Linked DNA regions of Diceros bicornis minor. The protein of the gene in region 2 interacts with the protein of the main gene of each other region in a pairwise test. Links are inferred from orthologs where the notes say so. Each region holds a gene or a part of one and is shown on either strand. Other genes may lie near its edges.

Region 1 (7,891 bases), on a different chromosome or scaffold from region 2:
ACCATCTGCTTTTACCAACCTCTGCCAGTCAAAATCTGAGACTCAACTAGAGAGAGGGGAGAAAAAAGCAGCTTAAATTATTGACTAACTTTTTGCACCAGGAAAGTCTGACGACGGATCAAAGCCCTCTGAACAGCTCCACCAGAAGCCCTCCTGACCCAAAATGCCCTTCTGGGCTTCCACAGTTGGGCCGTTGCAGGCCAGATAAGCAAGTCCAGTCGGCACTCCGTATCCGAGGGTTCCACCTCCGTGGAGTCAACCAACCACAGATCGAAAGGCCTACGATGGTTGCATCTGTATTGAACACGGACAGGCTTTTTTCCCTTGTCATTATTCCCTAAACAATACGGTATAACACCTATTTACACAGCATGTCCATTGTATTAGATATTATAAGTAACCTAGAGATGATTTAAAGTATACAGGAGGATGTGTGTAGGGTATATGCAAATACCAAGCCATTTTATATAAGTGACTTGAGCATCCGCAGATTTTGGTATCTGCTAGGGTGGGGGGTGGGGTGGGGTGGGTTCCTGGAACCAATGGCTCTCAGATACCGAGGGATGACCGTATCAGCCCAGAGTCAGGGGCCCAGGAGGAAGGCTGCGTGACCGAGATAACATGCGCAGGGCAGCGGCCGGGCCTGCCCTGTTGTATACGCCGCTGACCCTCCTGCGTGCCTGCAACCAGAACTTCCAGCTCACAAGTCAGAGAAGCCACTGGGCTATTCAAGGGAATACATGCAGACAGGAATCTATTCCTCCTGCCCCTCAAAGGATTGGTCTTAACATTTCTGCAAGAGACCAGGCATTATAAGAACCATCACAGCTCCTGTATATTAAGTTCTGCAATTCCTTTTACTCTCAGGGGAAAATTAAAACCCCACTGGTAAATCTGCTAGTGCAAGGCCTACAAATGGCCAAAATAATCACAGCGGCCACTGTTTATTAAGGACCTACTGTGTGCCGGGTGCCAAGCTTGCTAGAGTCTAAATAGCTCTTGTGAGTGTCCTCTTCAAAGGTCACCTCCCCGGAAAGGCCTTCCCTGAGACCCTGGACAAAGAGCCACGGGTGTCTACGTTACTGCCCTCACGGAATGGGTGCCTCTCCAAAATGCCCTCATTTGTCGTCTACTTGTGTAACCGCGTCTGTCTTCCACGCTTCGGTAAGCTCCGCGAAGGAGGGACCAGGCTGGCCTCGCTCTCCGCCACGGCCAGCGCCTGGCCCTGTGTCTGGCACAGAGTGGCTGCATTAGTTGTTGCTGCATTAACTTCTCGGCCCCCACTCTGTGTAGCAGCAGTGAGAGAACCAGGTCTCTTGACCCCCAGACCCTGGTCTGCCAGTGCCCGTGGTGGGAATCAGAGATGTTTAGAGGCTAGAGGTCCGTGCAAACCACAGAGGCCTGGGCTTGGAAGAGGCCAAACTCCAGACTGGACACAAGGATATGGTGGCTGCAGGCTACAGTCAGCTCTGGAGCTGCTGGGATGGGAGAGCAGGTAAACTTGGCCCAGTGCCCGGGAGATGGAGTTCACTGAATCTTCACAACAAACCTATGACATAAGTCCAATAAATACCCCCATTTGACAGGTAAGGAGACTGAGGCTCAGAGAGGGGCAGCTACTTGCCCAAGGTCACACAGCTAAGACGAGACAGCGCCAGCATTTGAACTTAGTCCAAAGAGTGGCTCTGGGACTCAAGACACCTGGGTTCTTTTAAGTCCTGACTCTATCACTGATGCTGTGTGTCCTGGGACAAGTCACTTTGCTTCTCTGGGCCTCATCCTTCTCCTCTGTCAAATACATTGACGGAGTTGGTGGACTTTGTCTGCCGAGGGGCTTGCTAAGAAGGAGCCCCCAGACTCGATTCCTGCAGCGAAATTCGCCCTCAGCTAGGCCTGTCTGGGGTGGTGCTGGGGCATCACACACTTTCCACACCTGCCCAGTCTCCTCTTTCTGAGGGCAGGAAACTGAAGGGAGAGTCAGAGGACCCTAACTCCCCACAGTGTGATACCAGGCTAGCTGCTTCACTCGCTGCACCTCGATTTTCTCATCTGTAAACTAGGGGCCGTAACGACACCCAGCTCAAAAATCCGTAAATATTAAGAAATCAATAAATATTAGCTCTTGTTATAATTACCGCCATCAGCTTACAGAGCTGTCGGGAGGGTCTGATGAGACAAGGCACAGTCAGCGCCTGGCATACAGTAAGTGCTCAATAAATGCTCACCATGATTATTTTTTAGGGTAAACGTGGAGCCTGTGGAATGCATTCCTACCTCTTCACTCACCACAGAGAGGTCCCTGTGTGTCCTTCAGTGGAGGCCAGGTGCTAATGCCAGCTCTGCCCTCATTTGCTGTGTGGCCCTAGGCAAAAGACTTGACCTCTCTGAGCCTCGATTTCCCCATCTGTATAACAGAGAAGGTTCCTAGCACTTCCACCTAGTCTGGTCCCTAGAGGACTAAATGAGCTAATCATATAAATTCTGGCTACCCTGTTTGGGGCACCCGGTAACAGCCAGGCACTCTGCTAAGCAAGTCCTTTGTACACAGTGCCTGGCTTATGATAAGAGTTACTCTTTTCCAGGCTGAGCCCCTCTGAGAAGAAGGCTGGGGAAGGACGATGAGCACTTATTGGCCGCCTACTGTGTGCAGGGCGCCTTCCTCATCCCCCACCTCCGGAATCCTCCCGACAGCCTCGCGAGGTCGGCGCTGGGATGACCCGGTTTCCCAGATGGGGAAACCGAGACTCCCAGAGACACCTACTGTGTGCCAGGCCCCCGGGACCTCTCGCCGCCCTCGAGACGGGAACCGCGAGCCCCTCGTCCCGGGGAAGGCGGAGGCCGAGGGTCCAGCCCGGCCGTCCCGCCCGGGGCCAGGCTCGGGCCTCGAACCCGGGGCCGGCCCGCAGACCGGCGCCCCCCGGCCCCGCCCGCTCGCGCCTACCTGATCCGCGGCCGGGCCGGGCGGCCGCGCAGACCCCTCCGCTCACCCCGGCCCGAGTCCCGGCCCGGCCGGTCCGGTCAGCGCCGCTAGCTCCGCTCCGGCCGGCACCTGCGTCCGGACACCACCCGCCGAGCCGACGGGGCCGCGGGCCAATGGCGACCGCCTCTCGCCCGCACTGGCCAATCGCCGTGCACGTCCCGCCCTGGGAGGCGGGGCCTGAGCGACGGGGACGTCCTGGGCCGCACAGGCCCCGCGGCGCCGCAGCTGCTGGCTCCGCCCCTGCCGCGTCCTGGCCCCGCCCCCAGCCCTGACCCCGCCCCATCCCGGCACGGGGCACGAGCGGGCCTAGTAGCGCCACCTGCCGACGACCAGCGCTTGTTGATAAATAAGAGCGTTGTGGAATTCAACGTGAGGCCCGGCAAAGGGATTTATCTGTCAGTGTTCATCACCTCCCTTACGCTTTTCCTCAGTCCTGGGGGAGGGAGGAACCGTATGATCACGTTTTACAGAGGGGAAACAGAAGCGTAGAGAGGTTAGGGGGCCGTGGAAGAGCCTAAAGCCAACATCATTATTCATCATTCATTTATTCATTCGTGCGTGCAATAGATTCATTCATTAGATGTCACAAACACCAATAAGAGGGCCTGTTTTGAGCCAGGCACTGTGCGAGGAGATGGCGACACAATGTTGAGTGAGACAAATGTTGCTGCCCTCATGGACCTCAATCTAGGGAGGGAGACAGACATTAAACAACCAATTATGTAATTAATTATTAATTACAAAGGTGATAAATTGTAGCAAGTGAGGGGGACATATCATGGAATAATATGGAAAGTGAAAAAAATATTTCCTCAAAGAAGAAGCAATTGAACTGACAGTTGAAGTGTGAGTGGAAGTTATCTGGGAGAAAAGAGGGGAAAAGAGTCCTAAGCAGAGAGTTCAGCATGTGCAAAGGGCACGAGGGGGGCTTGAGAATTGTCTCATTATTCCTTTCTTCCCCTGGCCCTGCCTGTATTGAATATATAGATCAGCTCAATTCCCTCAGTTAAATTCTGTTGTGTTGTACTGGCTTATATTTTTCGAAAAAGGAAAGATAAATCATAACTTTTTTAAAACATTACCTCTAGAGGGAAGAAGTAGGATGCAGGGGACGGGGATAGAAGCTAGACCTTTAAAAATATATCTTGTTTTATATATTTGACTTTACAACCTCGTAAATCTTCTGTATAATTATAAAAAACTTTTAAATGTAAAGATATCCCTAAAAACAAAAATAAAATAAAACGAATGAACCTGTGTATCCAGTTGGTGACAAACAACACAGAGATGAAATTCTAGTGACTTTAAAACACAACAGTTTGACTGTACATACCACTACTATAATGGTGGTTGTGGTCTTAAATTGGTGTTCTGATCTTCTTGCATATTTAGTATGGGATAAAGCAAAGGAGTAATTATGTTGGTGTCAAGAACTGAGATTTTCAGAGGGAGTGAAAGAGATGTAAGGTTGATTATGTTAAATTAAAACCCTGAGGTCTTGAATTTGAATTGGGAATACCATGATATATTTTATCTTTATAAAAAGCAAACATTTCCTAGGTCTGTTCATCAAAAAAGTTCCCACCAAAATAAAGACCAACCTCATAGCAATAAGCACTCCTTAAGCCCAGATTATGGTCTCTAAATACCATTTCCAATAGAAAGAACCAGGGAACCTTGAGGAAACAGCTGATTCTGGGTCTGGGGCAGAAAACATACAGATGAACCCGGCACGTCTTTTTTTTTTCTTTTATGGTGAAGAAGATTGGCCCTGAGCTAACTAACGTCTGTTGCCAATCTCCCTCTTTTTGCTGAAGAAGATTAGCCCTGTGCTAACATCTGTGCCCATCTTCCTCTATTTTGTATGTGGGATGCCGCCACAGCATGGCTTGATGAGTGATGCATAGGCCTACACCTGGGATCCGAACCTGTGAACCCTGGGCTGCTGAAGCGGAGTGCAATAACTTAACCGCTATGCCACCAGGCCGGCCCTTGGCACGTCTTGATACACCAGAAATTACTGGAGTTTTCAAAAACATTACCTAGTGAGGTAGTCTCAATGGAACCAACTGGAAGAAACTCCCACTGGCCACGAAGGAGACAATTTGGCCTTTAATAACGATACTGATTGCAGTAGAAAAACATGTCAAATGGTTAAATCCATGCACTTGGGTTCTTAAAAATTCTTATTTTAAAATAATATCAAATTTACATAAAATTTACAGGAGAAAGACACAGAGCTCCCATTAACCCTTTGCCTAGATCCCCTAATTGTTAACGTTTCTGAATCCTTGAATATAAGGTAGACACGTGGTGTCTCATTAAGCTTTAATACTTTAGTGTGTATTTCCTAAGGATAAGCACAGTCTTCCACATAATAGCAGTACAACCTTCAAAATCAGGAAATTCCTATTGATCCAATATTACCGTGTAATTCCCAAATCCCATTCAAAGTTTCCAATAAAGTCCTTTAAAGCTCCAGCATCCATCCTGGATCACACGGTGGATCACATGGTGTGTTTTGCTGGCTAGTTCAGCCTCCTCCAGTCTGGAACAGTTTCTCTGTCTTTCCTTGTCTTTCCTGACTTTGATACTTTTGATACTTCAAAAGATACTTTTTTTTTTTAAAGATTTTATTTATTTATTTATTTTTCCCCCAAAGCCCCAGTAGATAGTTGTATGTCATAGTTGCACATCCTTCTAGTTGCTGTATGTGGGACATACAGCATGGCCGGAGAAGCGGTGCGTCAGTGCGCGCCCGGGATCCGAACCCCGGCCGCCAGCAGCGGAGCTCACACACCCAACCCCTAAGCCACGGGGCCGGCCCTCAAAAGATACTTTTGAAGATGCTAGTTATTTTGTAGAAAGTCTCTCCATTTGTGTTTGTCTAATGTTTCCACATGATTTGAGAAAGGACCCACAGAAGTGATACTGTGTTCTCAGTGTATATAACAGGTGGCATAGGATGTTGATTTCTTTCACTACCGATTATGCTAACCTAGTTAAAATGGTGCCTGCCAGGTTTCTCCCGTGTGAGTTAGTACGCTGCACTTGTCAATAAGTGCTTTATGGGAAAATACTTTGAAACTAATTAAATAACCTGTTCCTCAAAAAATCTTCACTCACCAGATTTAATATCTGTCAATGACACTGGCCTGAACCAATTTTGTTGCTGTTGTTGGTTTAAACAAAGAGGGTTTTATTTTTATTTGCAAGAATTCTGGAGGAGGATAGCTGCATTGGCTTGCTCAAATGAAGATAGGCTCAAAGATTCTGAGATTATCTTGATGTTTTTCTCACAGTAGCAAGATGGCTGCTGTGGCTCCAGGCATCACATCCTCAATCAAAGCAAGAAGAAGGGAGGGGCAGGGCAATGTTAGCCAAGACTGTCTCTTTGATCAGATAGTGATTACCACATGATGATTGTTCTCATTCCATCTTTGAGCACTTCCTTACTTACTGGCTCAACAAGATGTTCCAGGGTGGATTTTCTTTTTTTTTTTTTTCAAATAGTCCTTTTTTTTTTTAACAATTTTTTATTTATTTACTTTTTCCCCCAAAGCCCCAGTAGATAGTTGGATGTCATAGTTGCACATCCTTCTAGTTGCTGTATGTGGGACGTGGCCTCAGCATGGCTGGAGAAGTGGTGCGTCGGTGAGCGCCAGGATCCGAACCCGGCTCGCCAGCAGCGGAGCGCGTGCACTTAACCGCTAAGCCACGGGGCCGGCCCCAGGGTGGATTTTCTTCAATTTGTACCTGCCCCAGCTCTAGAATCAACATTTCTCCAAGGAGGCCTGATTTCTTTTAGTGAGGAATGATATTGAGAAACTAAGATCTGGGTCCCAGGCATGCTCATTGCTACCACAGTATCATTAATTCTTGCTTCTCTCATTGTAATACATATGTATATATGTACCTATATAGAGACATTTATCTATCTGTCTGTCTGTCTATCCATCTGTCTTTAAAACCATGAGTGGCTTATTTTTATTTTATTAAAAATTTAAAAAATAGGGGCCAGCCCGGTGGTGCAAGCAGTTAAGTGCGCGCACTCTGCTGCGGCGGCCCGGGATTCACTGGTTCGGATCCTGGGCGCGCACCGATGCACTGCTTGGCAAGCCATGCTGTGATGGTGTCCCATATAAAATGGAGGAAGATGGGCATGGATGTTAGCCCAGGGCCAGTCTTCTTCAGCAAAAAAAAGAGGAGGATTGGCAGATGTTAGCTCAGGGCCAATCTTCCTCACAAAAAAATAATTAATTAATTAAAAAAATAACAATAAAAGAAAAAGAAAATTGACAAGCAAAGGAAAGAATTAAGTATTTATGCTGACCTATACAATCTGTACCTCGGGGTAACCACATAGACGAGGGGAAATTTCTCTTTATAGAAGTATTCCAGAAATAAATGTAAAGGGAATTTCTTTTTCTTTCTTTCTTTCTTTTTTTTTTTTGGTGAGGAAGATCAGCCCTGAGGTAACATCTGATGCCAATCCTCCTCTTTTTGCCGAGGAAGATTGGCCCCGGGCTAACATCCGTGCCCATCTTTTTATACAGGTCACTGCCACAGCATGGCTTGACAAGCGACGCATCTGTTCACGCCCGGGATCCGAAGCTGCAAACCCCGGGCCACTGAAGCAGAGTGCGTGAACTTAACAACTACGCCCCTGGGCCAGCTCCAAAAAGGGAGAGAATTTGAATATCACCATTTTGTAACTCCTAATGGATTACGAATCTGAGTGATGCTCAGGAGCATCTGTAAACACCACAAGTCAGAAACACGCTGACGGGATCTGCCTCCTAGGGTATTTGCATGGCGCCATCTATGAAGTCTCAATCCTAAATCTGATCATCCTCTGGGTCTAAGTAGTAATTTACAGGAAACGCAGGGGAAAAAAGGACACATTTTAAA
Region 2 (7,177 bases):
GCATTAAATGGACAGTGGGTGTCAAGAAGACCCCAAGACTATAAAGGGGGAGTCGATCAAGAGTCTCTCCTAGAACAATTTCCACACCATCCCCTTGATTTAGGTAGATTGAGATCTGAAGGACAAAAAGTTTTTTGAGAGGTTTGAAGGCAAAATAAAGAAGAGTGACTGGCAGCTGGAGTTTGTTTGTGATAACATAGTTTGTTTTTAGCACATCAATATGATAAGAATTAATTTAACAACATCTGCAAGTCAATGATAACTTACTGTGGTCACACATCATAAGACAGGTTTAACTGTTCAAAAACAGTTGTCTTGTTACTTTTTTGTTTTTAATTTTAGAAACCCTCTATTTATAATTATATACATTGTAGAACAGAAGACTTTTATGCAAATTTGATGGAGATTAGGAAAATCTATGAACTGCAGCAAATTCCAGCTTCTCTCAGTTAATTACTTCAAAAGTGTTATTTTCATTTTCATGTACTTTTTAAGGCACACTACTTTTTTTTACTCAAATCAGCATAATAATATTATTATTTTTTTTGTTCTTTCATGTTGTGGTTCTCTCAGAGGCAATAACAGTTCCATGAATTTTTTTACTCAAAAATAAATAATGAATAAATAAATAGAATTGATAATTTTCTTAATTCTAAATTTCTAAATTTAATTTCTAAATTTAATATAACGACTCTATTTTTTAAAAGTGTACTCCTCTGGTCTTAATAGGTAACTTTAATTAATCCAGAGATTATACCACCACCACCGCCTGCCACCTCAGTCTCAGGAGCATGGGTGGCTTGCTGGAGCCTGACTTGCTAAAGCAACTTGATTTGGCTTCAGTCTTTGGACACAGGAAGCTGATTCAATATTTCTGGTTCATTTTAATTCCCAGGAGGTCTCTGACCTGGGAGCTCTTTTTCTCTTTGGGGGTGGAATCATTTCAGCATTTACAGTAACCTATTCCCTAGAACATTCAGGTCTCCCTCCTCCCCAACCATGTTGCCTTCCCCAGTAACCTCTGCAACAGTGTAATAACCATGTTTCTAAAACTTTCCCTCACCCACAGTGAATGTAGTTTAAAGGATTGGCTACAGAATAACAGGACTCAGGTGAATCCCTAGAACAGTCAGGTATCCCTCCTCTCCAAAATGGCTGCCTTTTCCCAGGATCCTTTGCAACAGTATAGCTGCCATTTTTTTTAGAACATTCCCTAACTCACATTGAATGCAGCTTACAGGATTGGCTACAAAAAGGCCAGGTTCAATTGATTGGATTTCCTAACAGCCAGGGAGCACAGGAACCTCACTCGCCTTACCCTTGTCCCAACCCTGAGATATATATATATACACTTATATATATTTATATTTATATATATGTAGAAATATATATAAAATATAGATATATATGTAGAGAAATATATATATTTTTAATAGAAAGTGTCATTTCACACACACTAGAGTTTTACAGAGTAAAGTACATATATGTACTCCCCAAGCAATACGTGCTTCAGGCATTCTGGACTCCCAAGGTTGAACTCCCAGCCTGTCAAATGATGGCCCTGACTTCTCGCTGGACCTCCCTGCCCTCGTTTACCTACCTGGTATACAGAAGCTTCCTCCGCCCCCCAAGTTAACATCTGGCCCTGCTCAACCTACCATCGTCAGAGTGGAGCCCCTACAGCCAGTACTCCCAACACCAACCCAGTCACCATGTGCCAAGGGCCCCATACAGTACCCCTTTCTTGGGCTGGGTGGCAGTCATATTCCAAACCAATTGGCCTGTAGCAGAGCCAGCAGCCTTTGGACCCAACTTCTGTTGCCGCTGAGAGGTACCCAGGGACCGGGACCCACACTCCATTATTTCTAGGAAAAATAACAGAAGCCCCCAGAACACCCATAGAGGCTGTACCAAGGCTTCCTTGGCACAGCACATACCAGAAAGGATAGGGTCCCCAAACTTCTTAGGAATCATTCAACACTCATTCACTGCTGTCCACTGGTCAACCCCAGGCCTCAGTTTGTTCATCTGTTTAAAAGTTTAGCAAGTATTTGCTGAGGGCAAAACTCCGAGCTAGGTTACTGGAGAAAGAGCAATGACTAAGAGACAGCATTGCAGAAATCAAGGAACTGATTGTGTGTGTGTATAGGAGGAGTGAGGGGGCAAAACAGAAACTAATCCATCAGTGTAGATTCAGATCAAGAGATATATGCTTCTAAAATGATAAAAATAGGGCAAGATGACGGAAGGAAGGGGCTACGTCTAGAAAAGTTGGAAACAACATTGAGGCAGAGATGTGAAAGAGAAACAGAGCCCATCCATGGAAAATCTAGGGAAAGAGCATCCAGGCAGAAGGAACAGCAAGCACAAAGGCTGTGAGGAAGAACCAGTGTTGGGGTGTCACAAGGACAAACATAACTGCAGTATGGAGTGGGGCACCATGCCACAGCATGAAATATGTTGAGTGACCTTGATAGGATCCTGTAGATCGTGGTAAGGAGTTTGGATTTCACTCTAAATGGCAGAAGGCACCGGAGAGTTAGGAGAGAGAATTGATCCGATTGATCTTATAAATTAAGCCCTCCTAATGTTCTGCAATAGACATAGTGGTGGCTTAGACGACGGGGAGACCAAGGGACCACACACGTTGGTCCCATCCTACTCCCTCAGGGGTGCAAAATGCTCACATCATCAATCCCTTTCCCCCTAGCTCCCCTGTCATTCAAGGCACAAATACATGCATATGCACACCAAGGCACAGACATGCACACATACCCACACATACATGCAAATACGTACATGCATATATATGAGCGTCTGCCCGGCCACACATGCACATTCTCCAACACACACGCACAGGTGTAGACACCCAAGGGAAGGAACATTTCAGAGGAACCTCACCTGCTATCACCAGGTGCTCTTGGCCTTGCCCACGGCTTCCAGGAGCCAGTTCTTCGGCCATAGACATTTCCATCTCCTCCTTGATGCTAGGGGGGCCTCCTGCCATCACAACCAGTTGTTCACTTATAAGCTATGGCCAAGGATGCACAGGGAGAAGGGCACAGAGGAGGCACTTGGAAAATCAGCTCTTTGAGGGGTAGGAGATCAAGGAAGATATATCTGGACATGGGGGTGGAGCCAGACTCCCTCTTTGGGCTCAGGCCTTGGACCCAGCACCTTCTGTTCCTGCTGTATCTTGTTGGCTGGTTTCGAGGCCTTCTCCCTGCTACTCTGTAAGCAACTTAGGAGAAGAGATAAGGTTCAGAAACTTTGCCTGTGAGAACTACCCTGGCTTTCAGGTCACCTGATTTTGCCCCATTGTGGAGCAAGTGGGGTCCAGCCTCCATCATTTCTAGAGAGATGCAGGGACTGGTGCAGGACCCCAGAGTCAGTCAGTGGTCAAAGCAGGGTTAGATCTGAAGCCTGTCATGGCTTCTGCAAGCCGAGCCCTAGCTACCAATCCCAGCCATAGCGCCCTTCAGAAGGCATCCTCTGCAGAGCCTGCCTCCCCAAATCCAGAGTTCCCAGGAAGGGGAGATGGGCTTTTGATGCCTTTGGTAAGCCTGAGCAGGAACCATGAGAACCAAAGGAGAGAGGGGTAGGAAAGAAAAGACCTGCATGCAGCCACTGGAGCCCCCAGCGTCCCCAGGCCCTACACCCCCTGGTCTAAGTCCAAATTCCTCCTCAGCTTCCCTACTGATTAGGCCACTGTGAGGGTCAGGTTTATGTGTTCACTTGGCCAGCCTACAGACCCCAGTTATTCCATCAAACACTAATCTAGGTATTGCTGTGAAGGTATTTTGTAGCTGTGGTTAACACCTACAATCAGTTGACTTTAAGTAAAGGCCATTATTAACTCTTGACAATGTGCATGGGCCTCATCTAATCAGTTGGAAGGCCCTCAGAGCAAAGACTGAGGTTTGCCAAAGAAGAAGAAATTCTGGTCAAGACTGCAGCATCAACTCTTGCCTAAGATTCCAGCCTGCTGGCCTGCACTGAAAATTTTGGCCTTGCTAACCCCACAATGGCATGAGCCAATTCCTTAAAATAAATCTCTATATACATACACATATGTACATGTACATGCATATGCATATACATACATACATACATATGCATATACATACATACATACATCCTATTGGTTCTGTTTCTCTGGAGATCCCTCACTGATAGAACCACCAAAGGTGACCCCTCAGCTCTTGGGAACAGCCCGAGAGCCCCTGGGGGTAGAGGAGGCTATTTCTAAAAGGAACCAAGCACAGCTGGGACAAGATAGGGGGAGGAGGAGGAAGAGGGGAGGGAAAGAGGAAGAAAGGAAGGAAAGAGTGATGGAGAGGAAAGGGAGGGGCCAGGACTTGCTTAGAGAGGGTGGTATGGTCTGGGCTGCCTGTCTCCCACCTTGGCCCCACCTGTCCAGCACTTGGACCAAGCTCTTCAGAGCAGAGCTGACATAGGCCCGGCCTGCATTCCTGAGGGCCCCAAAGAAGCCCTTCCCAGCTCCAGTGCAACAGCTGCTGCGATGAAACCCGAGCTTTCCGGAGCGCCACCTTAGGAGCAGAGAAGTGTGCTCTGTGGCAGTTAGGAGCCTGGGAAGCAGGAGCCATTGCTTTCTGCCAGGCTAGTGTTGCCAGATTGAGCAAATAAAAACACAGGACACCAATTGAATTTGAATTTCAAGTAAACAGCAAATAATATTTTAGTGTAAGTGTGCTCTGTGCAACATTTGGGACATACTTACACTAAAAAATTATTCATGGTTTATCTGACATTCACATTTAACTGGGTGTCCTGTATTTTATCTGGCAACCCTGTGCCCTGTCCATCCTTGCCATGATCTCAAGATTTGACCTTGAGCAAGTCTTTCCTTCCTTTGGGCCTCAGTCTCCCCATTGGACGATGGAGTTAACAATCCCCTCCCTAAATCGTGGCTGAATTGTGAGAGCACTCAAGGTAGTAGAGCTGGCAAGACCTTCCATTATTGATCTCAGATCAGATTCTCCACTGACTGCCAACTGTCCTTGACTAGTTGGGGCTTCCTGGGCACTGGGACACTGGGCCCAGGTACACGCAGAGGCACTGCCCTCTACTGGCAAAGGAACCCACCACCTAAAGTCAAGCAAAGAGGGTGACTTCCTTCCCAATCCCTATGCCCCCAATGCTAGCCAGAAACTCGGGCATTTCACCACCTTAGCATGCCTGTTTCTCTTGGATTGGGCACCAAGGATGGCTGGGTGGTGGGAGAGAGAATTTGCTGTGTGACTTTGAACTTGTCCCTTAGCATGTCTCTCTAGCATGCTAACCTTTTCCCTCCAATATTATAATTTCCTTCTGAAATTGCCCCAAAGTCTCTCCTCAAACTCTTCAAAAAGGGCCCACTGTCTGGCATGCCAACTTCGGGGGCCGGAAGGGCTGGAGAACCCTGGACACAGAAAGATCTGCCAAGCATTATGGGGGCCCATGGCCAAGTGAAAGTGGTGGGCTGCAAAGACCTAGACCCAAGTGGAAGGCTCCCAGAGAAGAGGACAAGGGAGCCTGAAGTGCTTCCCACCCAGGAGGTTAGACATGCCTCTAGGAAGGGGAAGAAGGAGTCCAGAGAACATTGGGCTAAGATGTGTGTGTATATGTTTGCAGTGTGTTACACAAATGAGATCGTACATTTGAGGTACATGCTGTTCTGCAACTTACTTTTTTAGGTGAACAGTGTGCCTTGGGGATCTGCTATGTCAGAACAAATCTACCTCATGTCTTTTAAACACAGCACAGTATTTTGCTGCACAGCTGCACCCTTGTTTATGGACCTGCTCATGGATATTTTGGGTGTCTAGAGCTTTTCGCTTTTATAAACAATGTAGCAGTGAGCATTCCTGGACAGGCCTCTCTGCATACATGTGTAAATGTTTTTGTCCAGCAGGTGCCTAAAAGTGGAAATGTGGGGTTCTAGGATATGTATGTTGGCAATTTTGACCAATATTGACAGACATTGTCAATGTCCCCTCTAAAGAGGCTGTGCCAAGTGGGACTTCATCAAAGGGAAGAAAGTGCTGATCTCTTCACAGCTTTATCAATGGAAGATATTATGAAACTTTCTAAAAGGCATCATTATGCTGGGTGAAAAATGATCTCTCTCTCATTGTTGCTTTAATTTATATTGCTTTAATTACAAATAAACTTGAGCAATTTTTCACGTTTATTGATCTTCTGTATTTCTTTCCTGTGAACTGTCTGCTGGAGGGCTTGGATATTTATTAAAATAAGAGCTGTTTTATTAACAGAAAGAGATGGGGAAGACAGCTCTCCCTCCCTTCGAGATAAGCATCTCCAAAGAAAACATATCATCTTTTTCCCTAAAGTTGATTGTGAGCACACAGCCTCAACTGGGGACCAAACAAACCTAGTTAATTGCACCCAAGTTTGGGCTGAAATCTAGAGGGCCTCCAGCTTCCCACAGAGTAGGTGTCCAACTTGGGCTGTTGCCTGCCTGTCTGACTGTCTGCTGTTGTCTTGTGTCTGTCCGTCTCTCTCCCTGTCCAACTACCTGCCTCCACCAAGGCCTTCAAACCACTGGCTTCTTCCAGCTGTTCAGCCAGCTGTGGACTCGACTCAAATTCCCGACCAGCTTACGGTTTGACAGTCCTGTCTGTGACCTGCTCCCACCTCTCTTGCAAGCAGCAGTGGGAGGTGGCAGGAACCCAGGCCCAGGGTCAGTACACCTGGGAGTGACTCCTAGCCCTGACACTGGGACATCTTACGCAAGTTGCTTCCCCTGCCCTGAGCTTCAGTTTCTCATCTTCACGTGGAAGATTGAGCTAAAACCCAGTTTCAAACTGTTTCATGGTTTCAGGGAGGTACACTGGGGCTACCTGGGCTTCAGGGCAGACTCCAGCTTCTCTTCACCCAGAGCAGTTCCGCTTTTATCGCTTTCTTATATTGGGGTTCTATGGAAGAGGCCATTCAAAGCCAATGAGTGCGATGGTCTGCTGCCCCCAAGCTCTGCTCAGAGCCCAGTCTCAGGCAGCTACAGTCCCAAGCCCAAGCGAGCAAGCCTGATTTTGGCTGCAAACCCAGATCTTCCAGGCATCTGGGAGCTTCCCCTCCACTTGCTAACGAAACTTACAAACCTGTAAACAATTCTCCTTCCTGCTCCTGGAAGCAGCTGGTACTGAGGTCATCCCTG
Region 3 (7,546 bases), on a different chromosome or scaffold from region 2:
CTACCCACCACCCTGGAAACCTTAGTTCCTGGGTAGGTCAGAGAAGGGTATCTCAGCTTCACCAACCAGCAGGCATTTGCCAGCTCTAGCCCCTTGGGTTTATTTATAGGCCAACAGACTCAACAGGTAGCAGCCTCTCTGCCCCTTCACTGGAACTTCACTGTCCATCCTGGCTCAGTCTGGAGTTCTCTGCAGGGTTCTTGCTCTCTCTCTGATCATACCACCGATTCCCCAGGCTCATGGGTGGGGCAGTCTCACTCCCTGAGAGGGGTCTTACATGGTCAAGCCCTGCACACGCTCAACTGACTCTCGAGGCTTGGAGGGGCAGACTCTGGTTTTGGGCAGTGCTGACCCAAGCAGAACTGTGAGGTTGTCAATGCTTGTCCTCTCATCCCATCCCTGGGTGGCTCTCCCCTTTCTTTAGGCTTTTCTCCTCACTCTGACTCTGTAGGGGTCCCCTATCTTCCCACCTGTCACTTTCTTTTTTTTTTTTTTTTACAAATTGAGAAGCAGTTATTAAATATACAAAAAGTAATATCAGCCATATAAGGCATAAGCAAATCATTAAGAACACTTTGAATTGACATTTAACAAAAGAGGCAACGAAAATCATCAACAAGATTATTTTAAAGTTCAAGCTAACATAAAATCAATCAAATTCAAATTACAACAGCAAAGGCATTAATTACTTTCTCCAAAATTGGCAAAGATAATTAAAATTATCATATTCTATGCTGGTTAGGTTAGAGTGAGTTAGATACTCAAAATTGTTGAAGTTGAGGTTTCATTTTGGTGTATCTTTTCTGGAAATAATTTGGCAATTATTGCCAATTGTACATATATCTTTGTACCTAAAAATCACAGCAGACTCCTGGGATCTCTGGCCTTACAGATACCTCAGCACCTTAGTTAGGACTCTGATGACTTCTAGCTCTGCTGAGGACATGTCCACATTACCTGTCTGAGAAGTATTCATCTTTATCTGTCTGACTTATCTCACTTATCACAATGCTGCCACTTTCTTTCTTTAAAACCTTAGAAAAGGATCTGAGAGGCCCATCCATATTAAGTTATAAATGACTGGATGGAGGAGACTCAGGATTAAGTGCTGGCGAACTCAATGTCCAGAATCTACCCTTGCGGCATCCAAGCCGTAGCTCCTGGCTCTTCTGCCGTAGATGGGGAAGGAGGGGGAGCCCTGGCTCTTGACTCAGACTATGTGGATACATGTCCTGGCTCTGTCATCTACTACCTATGTGCTTTTAAACAAGCTATTAAACATCTCTAAGCCTCTGTCTCCTCATTTATAAAATGGGAACCTACCTCATAAGGTTATGAGGATTAAAGAGAAAATGCACGTCAAGCGTCTGGCACATAGCACACATAGCATCTGGCACATAGCACACAATAAGTGTTAGCTTTCTATAATAATAATAATAAACATAAGCTATGATTATTATTATCCCTGTCCTGCTGATCTTGGATATTGAAGACTCAGTGCTATAAGACAAAGGTCCCAAGCTAACCTTGCACTTCTAGGACCAAGAATGCCTCATCCTCTAACTCGCCCACCTCCTTTCTCTTTGAAGGGGTACTGTTTACTGTACGGAGGGGATGCTGGCCCCGGGTTGAAATCATATTTACTGCTGTGGTTCATCTGACCTCTGGGTTTGGGCTACATGGAGAAAAGACTTCTCTGTGGTCTGGACAAAACCACTATCTTCATTAGTCCCAGGAGAAAGGCGAAGAAGAGATGGGAGTGAAGAATTGGTGTCCAGCCTGCCTACATGCCACCATTAAAATGTGGGACGCTAAGTCCCCTCTCTGTTTGGCTCCAGGTAATCTGCAGGCTTTGTAGAGGAGGCAGATCCTCTGATTATGGAGAATCTTCCTGCCTTCCTGCCGTGAAGAAGAAAGGGTTGTGGGGGAGGAGATGGAGCCTGAGATAAGTTCTCCGTGGGCTCTCGACCAGGCTGTCTATACTAGTCCACTGAGACATATGGCTGTCCTGCTTTGCTTCCTGAGAGGCAGATATTGGGACTTATTACCCAAGTGGGGAATTGGAGTAGAAATGGCTCCTTAGAAAAGGGAGCCTTCTCAGACCCCTAGACCCTCACACCTGGTGGGATTTGTTGTGGCACAGCCGAGCGGAATCACACCCAGCCTTCCGGGATGTCTTGACTGTTCTGATTTGCTTAAACACAAGAAGCCATGTGGGACGGCTGACTGATGGGGATGGGCCATAGAAGAAAAAGGAACTGGCCCCTGTGTAGTTCAAAGAAAGGTCACTGGGCCACTGCCCAGGCTTTCTGGCATCTGTGGGGTGCCTCTTGGCGTCGTGACAGAGCCCAGTTGGAGCTCCGGGAAGAGGTAGTACTGGCTGGGGGAAGCTCTCCTCACTGCCGCAGGGAGAGATCAGAGCACTGCCCTTCACCTGACAGTGGTTTGTTGCTGCCTTTCCAAGTCTCTGTTCCTACTTCCTGGCTGTGTTTGCAATGAATGGCTTCCTACATGGGTCTGGGCTTCCTAGTCCAGAGCTCTCAGTGTGAGCTGAGGAGAGAGGGACCTGGAAAGGCAGCTTCATGTTATGGGGGTCCCTGCTTTGAGGGGAACTATGAGAGATCATTGAATTTATGCCCCTCTCGCTGGGTAGCCTGAACTCTAAGTCATTTGACTCACCTGTAATCTAATCCAATAGATGGAACGTAGAGTGATGGAAGCTGTACCCTTGCGCCGTGGCTAGTGCCCCTGGAAACCAACACAGGAGGCTTCTTTGGTTACCCAACCCCCAGCACTCTTAAACTACGCCATTCACCCCTGTGTCTCCCTCTTCAGCCTGGGGAAGCTTGGATGACAGAGTCTTCTGCCCCACCCCAGAATTAGAGCTCCCAAACCTGGATGCAAAAGCATCCTCCTCAGTTACCTTGGGTCCCAGGCTCCAACCCAAGCAGCTCAGGAAAGCATTCCAGCTCCTGGGCAGATCTTGGCTCTGGTTTCAGATGGGGCAAGACAGCAGCTGTGTAAAGTACAAGCTCTCAATCCATGGCTCTGGGCCCCCTTAGCATTTCCCTTCTTGGTACTGTCTTTTTTTTTTTTCGCACAGCAGCCTTGCTGAAACCGGAAACAGACAAAGCCACAGTGCTTGCTCACCCCAGTTCCTCTCTCTTGCTCTCTGGCACGGTCTGAGGGGGCCCCTGAACCCTTGAGGCCTCCAGCGCTGGGCTCAGGAGCTCCTCCCATCATTGGGCACCCCAGCCACCCTTCTTCTTGCTATTGGGTTGGTCTTAGCTCGCGGACAGTTTCCAGTCAAGATTCCTTTCCAGGAGCGGACAAGGATGGGCCTCTGGATCAGATTCAAACCTTGCAGTTTCTATGAGGGGAAAAAATGCATTTTTGACCTTGAAGAGATGTTCCCTGTGTAGCTTTTCTTGTGTGTCAGGTAGTTCTCTGTGTAAGGATTTTCCTTTTGTTGCCTCTTCCCAATCCTGGTATTGTAAAAAGTTTCTACTCTTCTAAAGTACCTGGTGTCTTTTTCAGAATTCTGGAATGAGGCCAGTTCTGAATTTGCTCCTTTCTGGAGCAATGAGGAGGAGGTGAAAAGGTGGTGGGTGGGTGACTGGGGAATGAAGGGAGCAGCAGCAGGCAGAATCTTATAAAAAAAGTTTCCTAGTCAATTGGACTAGGAAATTTGGGGAAAAACTAGAAGGAACTGATCTTTGTGCATTAAAAAGAAACCACTACAAATGATATTGTCAGGAAATTCCCAAGAAGTTCAGAACAAGATAGTGCAGAGAGAATTGGATTGGGGTAAGTTAACTGAGTAGTTTTATAACCTTGTGCAATTCACCTTGTCTGCATGGTCCACTCATTATGGTAGCTGGATGATTTATATGGCTCCTATGAATTCTAAGGCTTGACATGTGTGAGGCGTGCAATGAGATTTTTAAATAGCTGTGATAGGATAACAGTCATTAACACGTGGGAGTATGTCACAATCTTCTTCATTGCCTGCTACTTCCCCCATTCTCTGAGGAGAAAAAGGGCAAGGAGTAGGCAGGGAAAAGCACAGAGGATGGATTCTCAAGCACTAGAACTGAAGGCAAATGACGTTCCCTCAGGAAGAGAGACAAGAGCCTAAGGTCCTGTGTCTGGAGCTTGGTATATGGTGATGGGAATGAGTAGAAGACAGAGGGGTTAGGGAGCCCAAGGTGGTGAATAAGAGAATTTTATTGGCTTAGAAGACTAGTGAGAGGGTCCTGGGAGTTTAGGGCACCAGAGCATAGGAGAGGACAGGAGGTTATAACAGGAGGTACTATGGACCAACTATTTGGAATCCATTAAAAGTCAAAAAGAAGTGTGTGCAAAGATCAAAATGCCTTTTAGGGCTATGCACTCAATGGGATACCACACCCACTTTAACTGGGGTTTGGAGAGGTTAACAGTCTGCTCAAGGTAACACAGCAAGTGTTGGACCCAAGTTTGCTTGACATCAGAGCCTGAGCTGTTAACACTATGTTGTGAGAACAATACAATTAATAAGGTTGTCATACTTATCTATCTATATGGAGAGAAAGAGACACATACACACACAGAGAAAACTAAAACTAGAGAATATACCTTATTTTCAAATGCCCATGAAGCGTCAAAAAAATTGACTGTATTGATCATAAAGCAAACCCCAGTACCTTAAAAAAACAAGTTAATCTGTTACAGCAGAATTCCCCAACCATAGTACAATAAAATTAGAAATAAATAACAAAACTGGGAAGAAATAAACACTTCAACCTCTTGGAAAAAAAATTCTCCTGGTTTACTCTTGAAATATAGAGGAAACCAAATCTGGAATTAAGCATGCCTTGAGGGGCCAGCCCCGTGGTGTAGCGGTTAAGTTCGCACGTTCCGCTTCAGCAGCCCCGGGGTTCACAGGTTAGGATCCCAGGCACAGACCAACGCACCGCTTGTCAAGCCATGCTGTGGCAGTGTCCCATATAAAGTAGAGGAAGGTGGGCACAGATGTTAGCTCAGAGCCAATCTTCCTTAGCAAAAAGAGGAGGATTGGCAACGGATGTTAGCTCAGGGCTAATCTTCCTCACACACACACAAAAAAGAATGCCTTGAAAACAATGCTAACGAGAACATTAAGAACAAAATCTGTGAGGTATGGCCAAGGCATGACCCAAGGGAAATTCATAGTCTTAAATATTTTCATTACTTAAACAAGGAATATTAAAAATAAATTAGCTATTTATTTTCAAACAAATTTCTAAAAAGTAGTCAGGAAAATCAAGGAAAGAAAGTGAGAATAAAAAGAAGGTAAAAAGAGAAAGCAATATAATAAGTTAGAATTCAGAGCAGAATTGATAAATAAATTCAATTATCTATTGAATACCAGGAGCTAGTTCTTGTGTCTGTATGTGGGGAAAGGTAGAAATACCAATAGAAAACAAAATCAATGAAATAAACTACCAGCTAGCCAAATCACTTTAAAAGAGAGAAAGCACATCTGTAAACATTTATGAATGGTACATGGAAGTAACTATCATACAGTGGACATGAAAATACTTTTACAGTCATTTGTGTAACTAAGGTAATATTTTGAAAATCTGGATAAAATGAATTTAAGAAAACTTTATTTACCAAATCAGTCTCAAGTAGAGATATAGTCTAATCATCAGCCTGCCTCTCCCTGATGGTCCCCTTCCTCTAGCATAGGCTAGTACAGAGGAGGATTTAGATCAGGCACCTCTTGAGCTGGTCACGTGGCATTTACTGGCCAGCACTCTGTACTTCTTACCATTTCCAGGTCCACTGGGACCTTGGCTCTCTTTATTGATGGTCATATCCTGGAACATCAGGACATGGTCTCCTTAATAGATTCGGGTCCTCTGTGGGCTCCCATGAGGAGTAAATATAGGATAAGCATCACTTTGCCTTACAGCTCTGTTGCTTTGCTCTTCACAGCATCAAACAAGTATGTATGGGATCATCAGATTTTATTTTAGGGTTGGGGTAACTGAAGGGAATTCCAATTGTGAAAGGAAAACATTTAAACTGTGTGCTACTATGACTTATCCCATACTCTAAGAAATAACACCAAGAAGTCAAACTCTTTATGGAGGTCCCCACATGGGAGCTATTAGTTCTAATCTTGTTCCCCCTCCCACCCTACTGGATGACTCCCCTATTCATCTTTCGGGAAATGGCAACCTTGCCCATAAGAATTGTTTTTGCCTTAGAATCCCCCACTACACTCCCTCCAACATTTTCTCAGCAATGCATTCTTCAAGTCTAAGTTATTCATTCTAGAACAATGCCGCAGACACTGTTAACAGGATAGCCTGGGGTGGCCTTGTCACCCCAAGTTTTGCAGAAGGTGGCAGGAGGGGTTGGTGAGGGGAACTTGGAACTCCAAGTCCTGCAGAGTGGCTCAGGATAGGCACATTTAAGTCTGTTCTTGTTCAACTTCTCCCCAACCAGTGACTTGCAGACTCGTCTCTTTTTTTTTTTCCTGGGAAAGAGTCACCCTGAGCTAACATCTGTTGCGAATCTTCCTCTTTTTTTTTTCCTTCTCCCCAAAGCCCCAGTACATAGTTGTATATTTTAGTTGTAAGTCCTTCTAGTTCTTCTCTGTGAGCTGCCACCACAGCATGGCTACTGATAGACAAGTGGTGCGGTTCTGCACCCAGGAACTGAACCCAGGCTGCCAAAGCAGAGCGTGCTGAACTTTAACCACTAGGCCATCAGGGCTGGCTCTGTAGACTCTCCTCTTTAGTCTTTCAAGTGTCTACCTGGCAACTGTTTAATCAGATGTCCACACAAACATCCCAAGGACAAATATTCCTTCTCAGAGGTGATACAGTCTAAACTCATCAGGAAGAAGATAACTATTTCCTTAACTCCTACATTTGCAAGGTTGCCTCTCTACAATGGAGTTATGACTTCACACTTGTGGCAGGACAGAGTTCTCAGTTCTTTTCTTCTCTTTGTTGCTTTGTGTCATCATTGTTGATAGAGGACTTTTTACTATAATAAAACCTCAAAATTATGCTGTAACAGATTATCAATATTAGCAGATTTGTCTGTTGTACAGATGCTAAGAATCTGAAAGGCCTAACCCTAAGGCACAACTAACTGCACATCTGTTCTTGCGGGTCCCAGCATTGAGAAAGACAAGTTACTTTGCATCTTAGGCTGCTGAGAAGGGTGGTCTTACCAGCTTTGACCTTGAAGGGCCCTGATGGGATGAAACTTCAGGCCTGAGGGAGGGGGTGGAGTGGTGTGTGTGTGTGTGTGTGTGTGTGTGTGTGTGTGTGTGTTATAGAACAGACAGAACAGGAAAGAGTAAGGTAGACCAGAAAAAGGAGGGAGGGCTTCCCAGGTATTCATCTCCATTTGGACCAAAAGGAAAAACCATGTGTTAATCCTCAGAGCAACTTAAGTCTTCTCGTTTCACCTTCATTTCAGTTTGTGTCCCCTTGGGCCTGCCAGAGTATAAAATAAGGCTTACTTCTGAGTCAGATATCATAATGGCTTATCCCCTCGGTAT
Region 4 (6,781 bases), about 2.3 Mb from region 2:
TAAAGTGGAGGAAGGTGGGCACAGATGTTAGCCCAGGGCCAGTCTTCCTCAGCAAAAAGAGAAGGATTGGCATGGATGTTAACTCAGGGCTGATCTTCCTCACACACACAAAAAAATAAATAAAACAAGCAGCTTCCTGGAAGAAACGGCGGCAGCCAAGCACATGCTTTGCTTCCTAACCATCTCCCACCCTTGGACACTGGGGTTGGCATCCGCTTGTCCCGGGTAAAAGATCCACAGCAGGCTGTGCATAGGCAGCCTTGCCTGCACTTGGGGTGGGCTCTCCACGCTCCATGGTGCCATAGTTATTCTCATGATTACCAGAGCTTTGAGTTATGAGTCAGGGAACATACCCCATCAAGCAAAGCACCAATGTGCTTTGATTCACGGGTAGGATGTGATTCCTAGGCCAAGGCCAAAAGGGGGAACCCACGAAGCCAGATGGTGATTCTGGAGACCAAAGCTCAGAGGCCCCGAGCCAGGGGAGCCCAACCCTCTCCCAGCAGAAAGAGCCCACACTTTTAAAAATAAATGGTCTTTTTATTGTGTGTCCACGAAAACAAAGTCAGGGTGGCCTTTGGTTAATCCCCCCAAAGAGGTGACAAGGAGGCATGCAATGACAACAACAACCACATTCTCCTCTCCAGGAGAAGGGTCTTACCCTCCCGGGCCCTAAGGATCAGAGGCAAGTGGGGCCAGGAGGCTCCGGAGGAAGGCCTGCCCAGGCCCACTATGCCATAGAGGGCCTGGGCGGGCTGCCTCCCTCTCAAAACAAGGCAGGACAAGGCAGGGGGAGCAAGCACTGCCCTGGGCCAGGCCCAGCACCCCCAAGCTAGAACACACAGAGAAGCACCCCCCCACAGCCCCCCAGCAAACACTGCTAATGCAGTCAGCCAGGACTCCCTCCCGAGAGCAGCTGGCCCCGAAGCCAGACCCTCAGGGCTCCATTCAGAAGGGGTTGCCATCGTCAGCCTGCATGGAGTAGTAAACAAAGAGCAGGAAGGCTGCAAAGACCAGGAACAGGAGCATCTGGCCCCAGAGCGGGACCTGGCAATCCTGGCCCAGAGCCCCAGGGGCCTGCTTTTCTGGCCGGATGGCACGGCGGGTGAGCCATGAAGGGTGGGGAGCTGAGGATGAGGACACAGGAGAGGTGGAGGAGGATGTGGGGTAATAGGACAGGCCCAGGGAGCTTCTGGAGATGCTGGAAACGGGGCGGTAGTGCGCGATGCTCTGGTAGGCACTGTCCCGGCCATACATGGGGCATTCCCTGAGGCAAAGAGGGAGCAGATGGGCCAGGAGGGCCTGGGCCCAGAATCAGCCCAGCCCCTGGCCCTCCCTACCACTCACCTATCTTTACTCTCCTCTTCAGAAGAGAAAAGACTGTCATCACGCACCTATAGAAAAGAATCAGGATGAGGAGAAAGGCTGGCAGGGTCAGTGTGGCCCTGTCACATCCCTCAGTCCAAACTTCCCCTGCTGGCCTATCCCGCCCATTGCTTAGAGGCCCAGGCCCTGCCATACTCCAGAACCCTTCTGAGTTCCTGGCCTTCATTCCCTGGGCCCTGGCCACTTGCTCAGTGACTGTCCTGGCTGCCTGCACCCTACTTTCTGCCCCAGGATTCTCAAAATAAGCTCAAAGCTAGATCCAAGACCAGGGTGCAGGGCATGTCCCGTATGCTCCAGTCAAACAGTTCTGACAGCCCGCCGAGGGCCCTGACCAGGCAGGTGTCTGCTGACCCCACCTCTCCCTGGAGGCTTGGGAGACACCATTTGCCCCCTTGACTTAGCCAAACCCAGCTCTGACCCCCTCAGGTTGTACACAACTACAGACAACCCGACAGCCGGCTCACCTGGTGGTGAAAGGTGTCAGCGTCTGAGAGTGAAGCCGAGGGCTGGCGGAAGCCCTTGGACGTGCCCACAGACTCAGGCTCCCCGTAAGTCCTGGTGCTCAAGTAACTCTCCTCATAGTAGTCATCATTATAGCCTTAGGAAGGGGGCAGCAGTAGCAGAGCGGGCAGCGGTATCCCCGCCTGGCCCGATGGCCCTAATCTGAATCCCACTTTGGGGCCTGTGACATGGTTTCTCCCCTCCAGGGCTGCTGAGGGACGGCGGGGGTTGAGGTCTCAGGTTCTCCCTGATACTGGGGTCCCTGAGGGAGTGGAATGAAGGTGTCAGGGTGCCCACCCCACGCCTGCCTTACCCTTGCTCTGGTAAAGTAAGGCGTCCTCTTTCTTGGGCAGATCGTACATGTCCGAGTCCACGGAGGCTGAATCTAAGTCTGAATGAGGGGGCCACGACCATTTGCCCTCAAGGCTCCCCTCCCTTTTTCCCGTGTCCCTCCCGGCCAGCGTTCCTGCCACACCCTCGCGACTCTGTTCTCCCCGTCGCCCAAACCCTGTCCCCACGGGCCGCCAGATGGGGCTCTGGGTCGGGGGCCTCACCCGAGAACCGGTAGGAGAAAGACGATGTGGAAGAGTTTGGAGGCGACAGCCTCCGCCTTTGGGTCTCGTACTCGAAGATTTTCTTTTCGTAGAGCTTGCGCGTGGAACCTGGCCAAACACGGGGTGCGGGGCGGTCAGGGGGGCGGGCTGGGAGCCCGGGGGCAGCGCGGGGAGGGGGTCCCGGAAGGGGACGCGAGGGCGGAGCGCGGGGAGGTGGCCTGCCACCGCGTACCCACGACAGGCCCGTGTGGAATGTTGTACTGGCGCAGCACGGCAGCCAGCTCGGCGTCCGACAAGACCGCGTAATCGTCCATGGTGCGCGGCTGAAGCCTGGGGGCGACTCGGGCCTGGAGACACAGACCAAGCTACGGCTGCCTCGGGAGCGGCTGCGCTCGCGTCACGCCTGCGTCCGCGTCACGCCTGCGTCACATTCGCGCCCTGGACGCTGGCTCTGCGAGCTGCGCGCGCTGCGTGGGGCGGAGCCAGGCCGCGGGGAGCAGCCGGAATAGACCGGTCCGATCGTGGGAGCGGGAGGGGCGGGGCTGGCGAGCCCAGACGTCTCAAACAGGCAGGATTGGCTAAAGGCGAAAGAGGGGCGGGGCGTGCGCGGGAGCCCAAGCGGCTCAGACCGGTCCGGCCGTGGGAGCGGGCGGGGAAGTGTGCCCGGGGGAAGGGGTGGGGCCGGCGAACCAGGAGACATCACTCGCTGGTGCTTCTGGGCGAGAAGTGAGGAGGGGCGGGGACCGCGCGCAAGGGGAATGGGCGTAGACCTGCCGGGACTTGAGAGCGGGGTGGGGTTGGCGAGGCAATATGTCACCCGCTGGCGTGTTCCGGCGAGAAGCGAGGAGGGGCGGGGTCTGCGCGAGGCGAACCGGCAGAAACTAGCCAGGATGTGGGAGCCGGCCAGGGCCGGCGCGTTTGGGGTGCTTGCTCTCCCTGAGTCACGTGGGCTTCACTCCGTCCCTACGGCCTCCGCCACTCCGCCCTCACCCCCGGCCCGTTCCCAGGCTCCAGCGCCTGGGGTTCCCCGGCCACGCCCCGAGAGCAGCGGGAAAGTGCCAGATCCTAAGAGCGAGTCCTTGGACAGCGCGGTCCCGGGCCAGGCGCCCCTGCGAGCGCTTTGCGCGCGTGCGCCACGCCAGGGAGGCGGCTGCCGGCGGGGCCCGGACCCTAAGCCGCCCCCCAAACCCCCTGCCGCAGGCCGGCCGGTGGCTCTGCACGGCCCTGGCCTGCGCACCTGCACCCGCGGGTCCCCACCGCCTCCCTCCGTCCCTCCACGCTCCACCGGGAGGAAATGGGGCAGTGGCCCAGGAGGCCGCCAAGCACTCCAGGAGCAAACAGCCTTGGAAGGGGCCGGACGTGCCAATAGGCACTGGCACGGGGCGCCGTGTGATGCGTGCAGAGACAGCGAGTGTCCGCCTGACCCACCATGACGTCCACCTGGGGCACTGGGGGTTTCCTCTCCTGTCAGAATGGCCCCTGAGCTTAGTGTGACCCAGGAGGCGGCCAGGCAGGGTCAGGAGGGCCCTTCCAGACCCACAGGGACCTGCTCGGGGGTTCCAACAAGCTTTCGCAGGCTCTCAGCACCTGGGTCTGGGTAGGCTTCAGGGTCCTGGTAGTCCAGAGGGGGCCCTGAGGACAGGGGGGCCAGAAGACTGAGCGGGGACCATGGAAGGCTGCCATGGCCTGCCAAGGTGGCTGGACCTTCACTAGGAGTTGGTGAGGGCCTTGGTCAGTAAAGAACTGTCCTGTGGAAATTGGAAAGGAGGTGATAACCATGTTCTAAACCAAGCCAACTGATAGAGTATGGGGCCAACTGAGGTGCCCCTCCCCAGGCAGGCCCAGAACTGGGAGCACGGGGTGATGAGGAGCTGTCCCTGGTCTCAAATGACAACAGGTGATAAGGGGAGAAGAAGAGAGGATGGCTCTGCTCAGACCCAGGCTGGCTGCCTAGCTAGTGAGGGTCACAGAGCAGTTCTCCATGGAGGTTTGCTCAGCGGGTGGAGAAGAGGTAGCCACACAGGGAGTGGTGAGGAGATGGGGTCCTGGTTTGACCCCACACAAAGACCCTCAGAAGAGTTGCTGTGGGCCAGGTTTTAGAGTAAAGGCGAGGCCTGCTCTGTCTCCCGGAATAGGAGGAGGAGGTGTGTGGGTCCCCAGACACGTGCATGGCTGTAGAGGGGGGAGAACCCTGGGCACAGCAGGGGCTTGCTGCTTATCTTTCAGAGCAAGGAGGGAGATGGCGTTTGGGCTCTGGGCTGCTCAGAAGCTGCCTCCTGGAATTTTGAGTTTTGGCAAGATCAGACTCCCCAGCACCTCTCCAAGCCTTCTGTGGTGCTGGCCCCTGTCCCGGAGGCCCAGTCCTCCCCCATGCCACCCCTCCCCATGTGGATCCAAGTTGTTTCCTTATGAGGTCAAGGAATTCTAGGTTTGCTTTCTCCCCAAGGAACACCCCCTCTCCCAGCACCTGCCTCGGCACTCTGCCTTTTATGACCCCCCCGTTGCCCTGCTATGAGGTCCCACCATGGATGGCCCCAGGAGACTGAACTGCAATGGTCCCCTGCGCCCACCCGGTTAGCACCTGGAGCCCAGGTCCAGCCCCATCGCAGTGCAGACCTGTCCCAGACCACCAGAAACCATGCGAGCCCTTGCCCATCAGTGCTGAGAGGCCTGCACCATTCCATCACACAGAGGGGGAATCAGGAGAGGGAGAAGGCTTGCCCAAGGGCCCGATTCTCCCATGGATGGCATGGGGGAGTACCTAGTCCTCGGGGCAATGACCTGGCCAGTGTGGCCAGCGCGGGTACCGTGTCATCAGAGGGCCTGTTGGGGGAATCTGTGGCCTCCAGGGGAGTCTTCCTGGGAAGGGTGGGCAGAGTTAAAAAAGAAGAGGAATTTCTCTGGAACCACAGCTGAGGTGAAAAGGGTTAGGAAGCCACAGATTCCAAGTCAAGAATAAGAAGACAGTTTCTCTTTCAAGGATGGGCAATGGCTCCTAAGCAGTACATAGTATAACTTGGAATCCCAGCAAGATTGAAAGTTATAGGGGAAAATAATACCAACATGAATACATTTGTCAGCATCCATGTCCAAGGAGCCAGTTGTTCACTGAGCTATTAATGTTTTCTTTAAGGTCAGAATCTTAATACATTAGTACAATACAAAACTTAACTTTTCTCTTCAAGGATGTTAAAGATCCTTTGAGTTTCGCTTGGTATTTGAATGCTTTGAAACATTGCTCAGATAGTAACAAAAGTCATAAGATGATGATTATTGTGAAAATTAATATGTGGAAGATTGTCACAATTACAATCAATATAAAATGGGGAGTGGTCAGTGGACCAAATGCGTCTCCAAGAATGCCTTGTGACCCACCCTAGAACACAGCAGTTCATCTTGGTACTGCTGGCACGACCAGTTGGGGATTCGGCCTGCCTTAGCAGCAGGAATGTAGCTGATTCTAGCGGTTTTCCAAAACCTTCAACACAGGAGAAAAGGTCTTTAATTGATTAGGATCTTCACCAGGGAACAGCTGGTGCTATACAAACCTTCATTCCCCTTAAACCTGGAAGAAGTAGAAACCAAGAGCTGCGCATGTTTTGTGTGTTTTGGAGTGTGTGTGCAGTGGGAGGGAGGCAGTAGTGTAAAGAGAGGATTTAAATGGAGGTGGGGGCCAAAGATCCAGCCACATGGCCACCGCCTTGTTTGTGCCCCCCACCTATTGTACCCCTGGCTCCGACTGCAATGCCTGTGGTAGGTGGGTCTCCCTCCTTGAAGAACAGCCACCTCATGGACCTGAACTCAGGCCACTCACCTATCAAGTGACCATAACCCACTGCTCACCCCAGCAGTGGGGGGGGGTTCCCACCAGAGGGAGCAGGGAGGGACATGGAGCCCCTGGCACTGCTAGGAGATCCCACTGTGAGTCAAGGTGGAAAGGTCATTGCAAGCAGAGCTAACAAAGGCAGCAGTGGCTGCAGGGAGGCCTGGAGGGCAATCAGCGCCTTCCTGTCAGTGTTCAACTGTAGATGGCCAAATGCATTTAGCAGGTGTAACCAAATTTCTTCCTGCCTCCCTCCCTTCTTTTCTTTCTCTCTTCTAATGAAGTAGAGTAGAATAGAAAATACCAAGTGCTTTTTGGGTAGTGAGAGAAAGTCTCCTTTTCTGGATCGTTTGTCTCAGTTATTTCTGTCAATCTGTGTATGTGTGCTTGCACAGCTGGGCTCAGGATGTCAAATGTAGTTCTTATTGGGGCTTGTGGGCAAAATGTTAAAGTGACACTGCTTTATGTGGCCTTCCCCAAGGAAGTGACAATTGAGCTACATCTGAAGCTACCAGGA

Evidence for each region.
Region 1: the proteins of FATE1 (region 2) and MARCHF2 interact in binary tests that used the Homo sapiens proteins (3 or more experiments, as listed by UniProt). The two-hybrid records come from large-scale screens. The link is inferred for Diceros bicornis minor from reciprocal best matches to the Homo sapiens genes FATE1 and MARCHF2.
Region 3: the proteins of FATE1 (region 2) and TRAF3IP3 interact in binary tests that used the Homo sapiens proteins (3 or more experiments, as listed by UniProt). The two-hybrid records come from large-scale screens. The link is inferred for Diceros bicornis minor from reciprocal best matches to the Homo sapiens genes FATE1 and TRAF3IP3.
Region 4: the proteins of FATE1 (region 2) and EMD interact in binary tests that used the Homo sapiens proteins (3 or more experiments, as listed by UniProt). The two-hybrid records come from large-scale screens. The link is inferred for Diceros bicornis minor from reciprocal best matches to the Homo sapiens genes FATE1 and EMD.

What each region holds. Positions count from the first base shown.
Region 1 is NW_026691615.1:299,648-307,538, forward strand, and holds the start of MARCHF2 (E3 ubiquitin-protein ligase MARCHF2), read right to left. Parts: upstream 3,018-7,891; 5' UTR 2,942-3,017; intron 1-2,941. UniProt on the Homo sapiens protein: E3 ubiquitin-protein ligase that may mediate ubiquitination of TFRC and CD86, and promote their subsequent endocytosis and sorting to lysosomes via multivesicular bodies.
Region 2 is NC_080781.1:136,029,631-136,036,807, reverse strand, and holds the start of FATE1 (fetal and adult testis-expressed transcript protein), read right to left. Parts: upstream 3,008-7,177; coding exon 2,902-3,007; intron 1,866-2,901; coding exon 1,738-1,865; intron 1-1,737. UniProt on the Homo sapiens protein: Involved in the regulation of endoplasmic reticulum (ER)-mitochondria coupling. Negatively regulates the ER-mitochondria distance and Ca(2+) transfer from ER to mitochondria possibly implicating it in the regulation of apoptosis.
Region 3 is NC_080743.1:75,798,901-75,806,446, reverse strand, and holds the start of TRAF3IP3 (TRAF3-interacting JNK-activating modulator), read right to left. Parts: upstream 3,006-7,546; 5' UTR 2,924-3,005; intron 1-2,923. UniProt on the Homo sapiens protein: Adapter protein that plays essential roles in both innate and adaptive immunity. Plays a crucial role in the regulation of thymocyte development.
Region 4 is NC_080781.1:138,282,719-138,289,499, forward strand, and holds EMD (emerin), read right to left. Parts: upstream 2,922-6,781; 5' UTR 2,756-2,921; coding exon 2,674-2,755; intron 2,550-2,673; coding exon 2,442-2,549; intron 2,279-2,441; coding exon 2,201-2,278; intron 1,985-2,200; coding exon 1,851-1,984; intron 1,395-1,850; coding exon 1,348-1,394; intron 1,268-1,347; coding exon 949-1,267; 3' UTR 520-948; downstream 1-519. UniProt on the Homo sapiens protein: Stabilizes and promotes the formation of a nuclear actin cortical network. Stimulates actin polymerization in vitro by binding and stabilizing the pointed end of growing filaments. Inhibits beta-catenin activity by preventing its accumulation in the nucleus.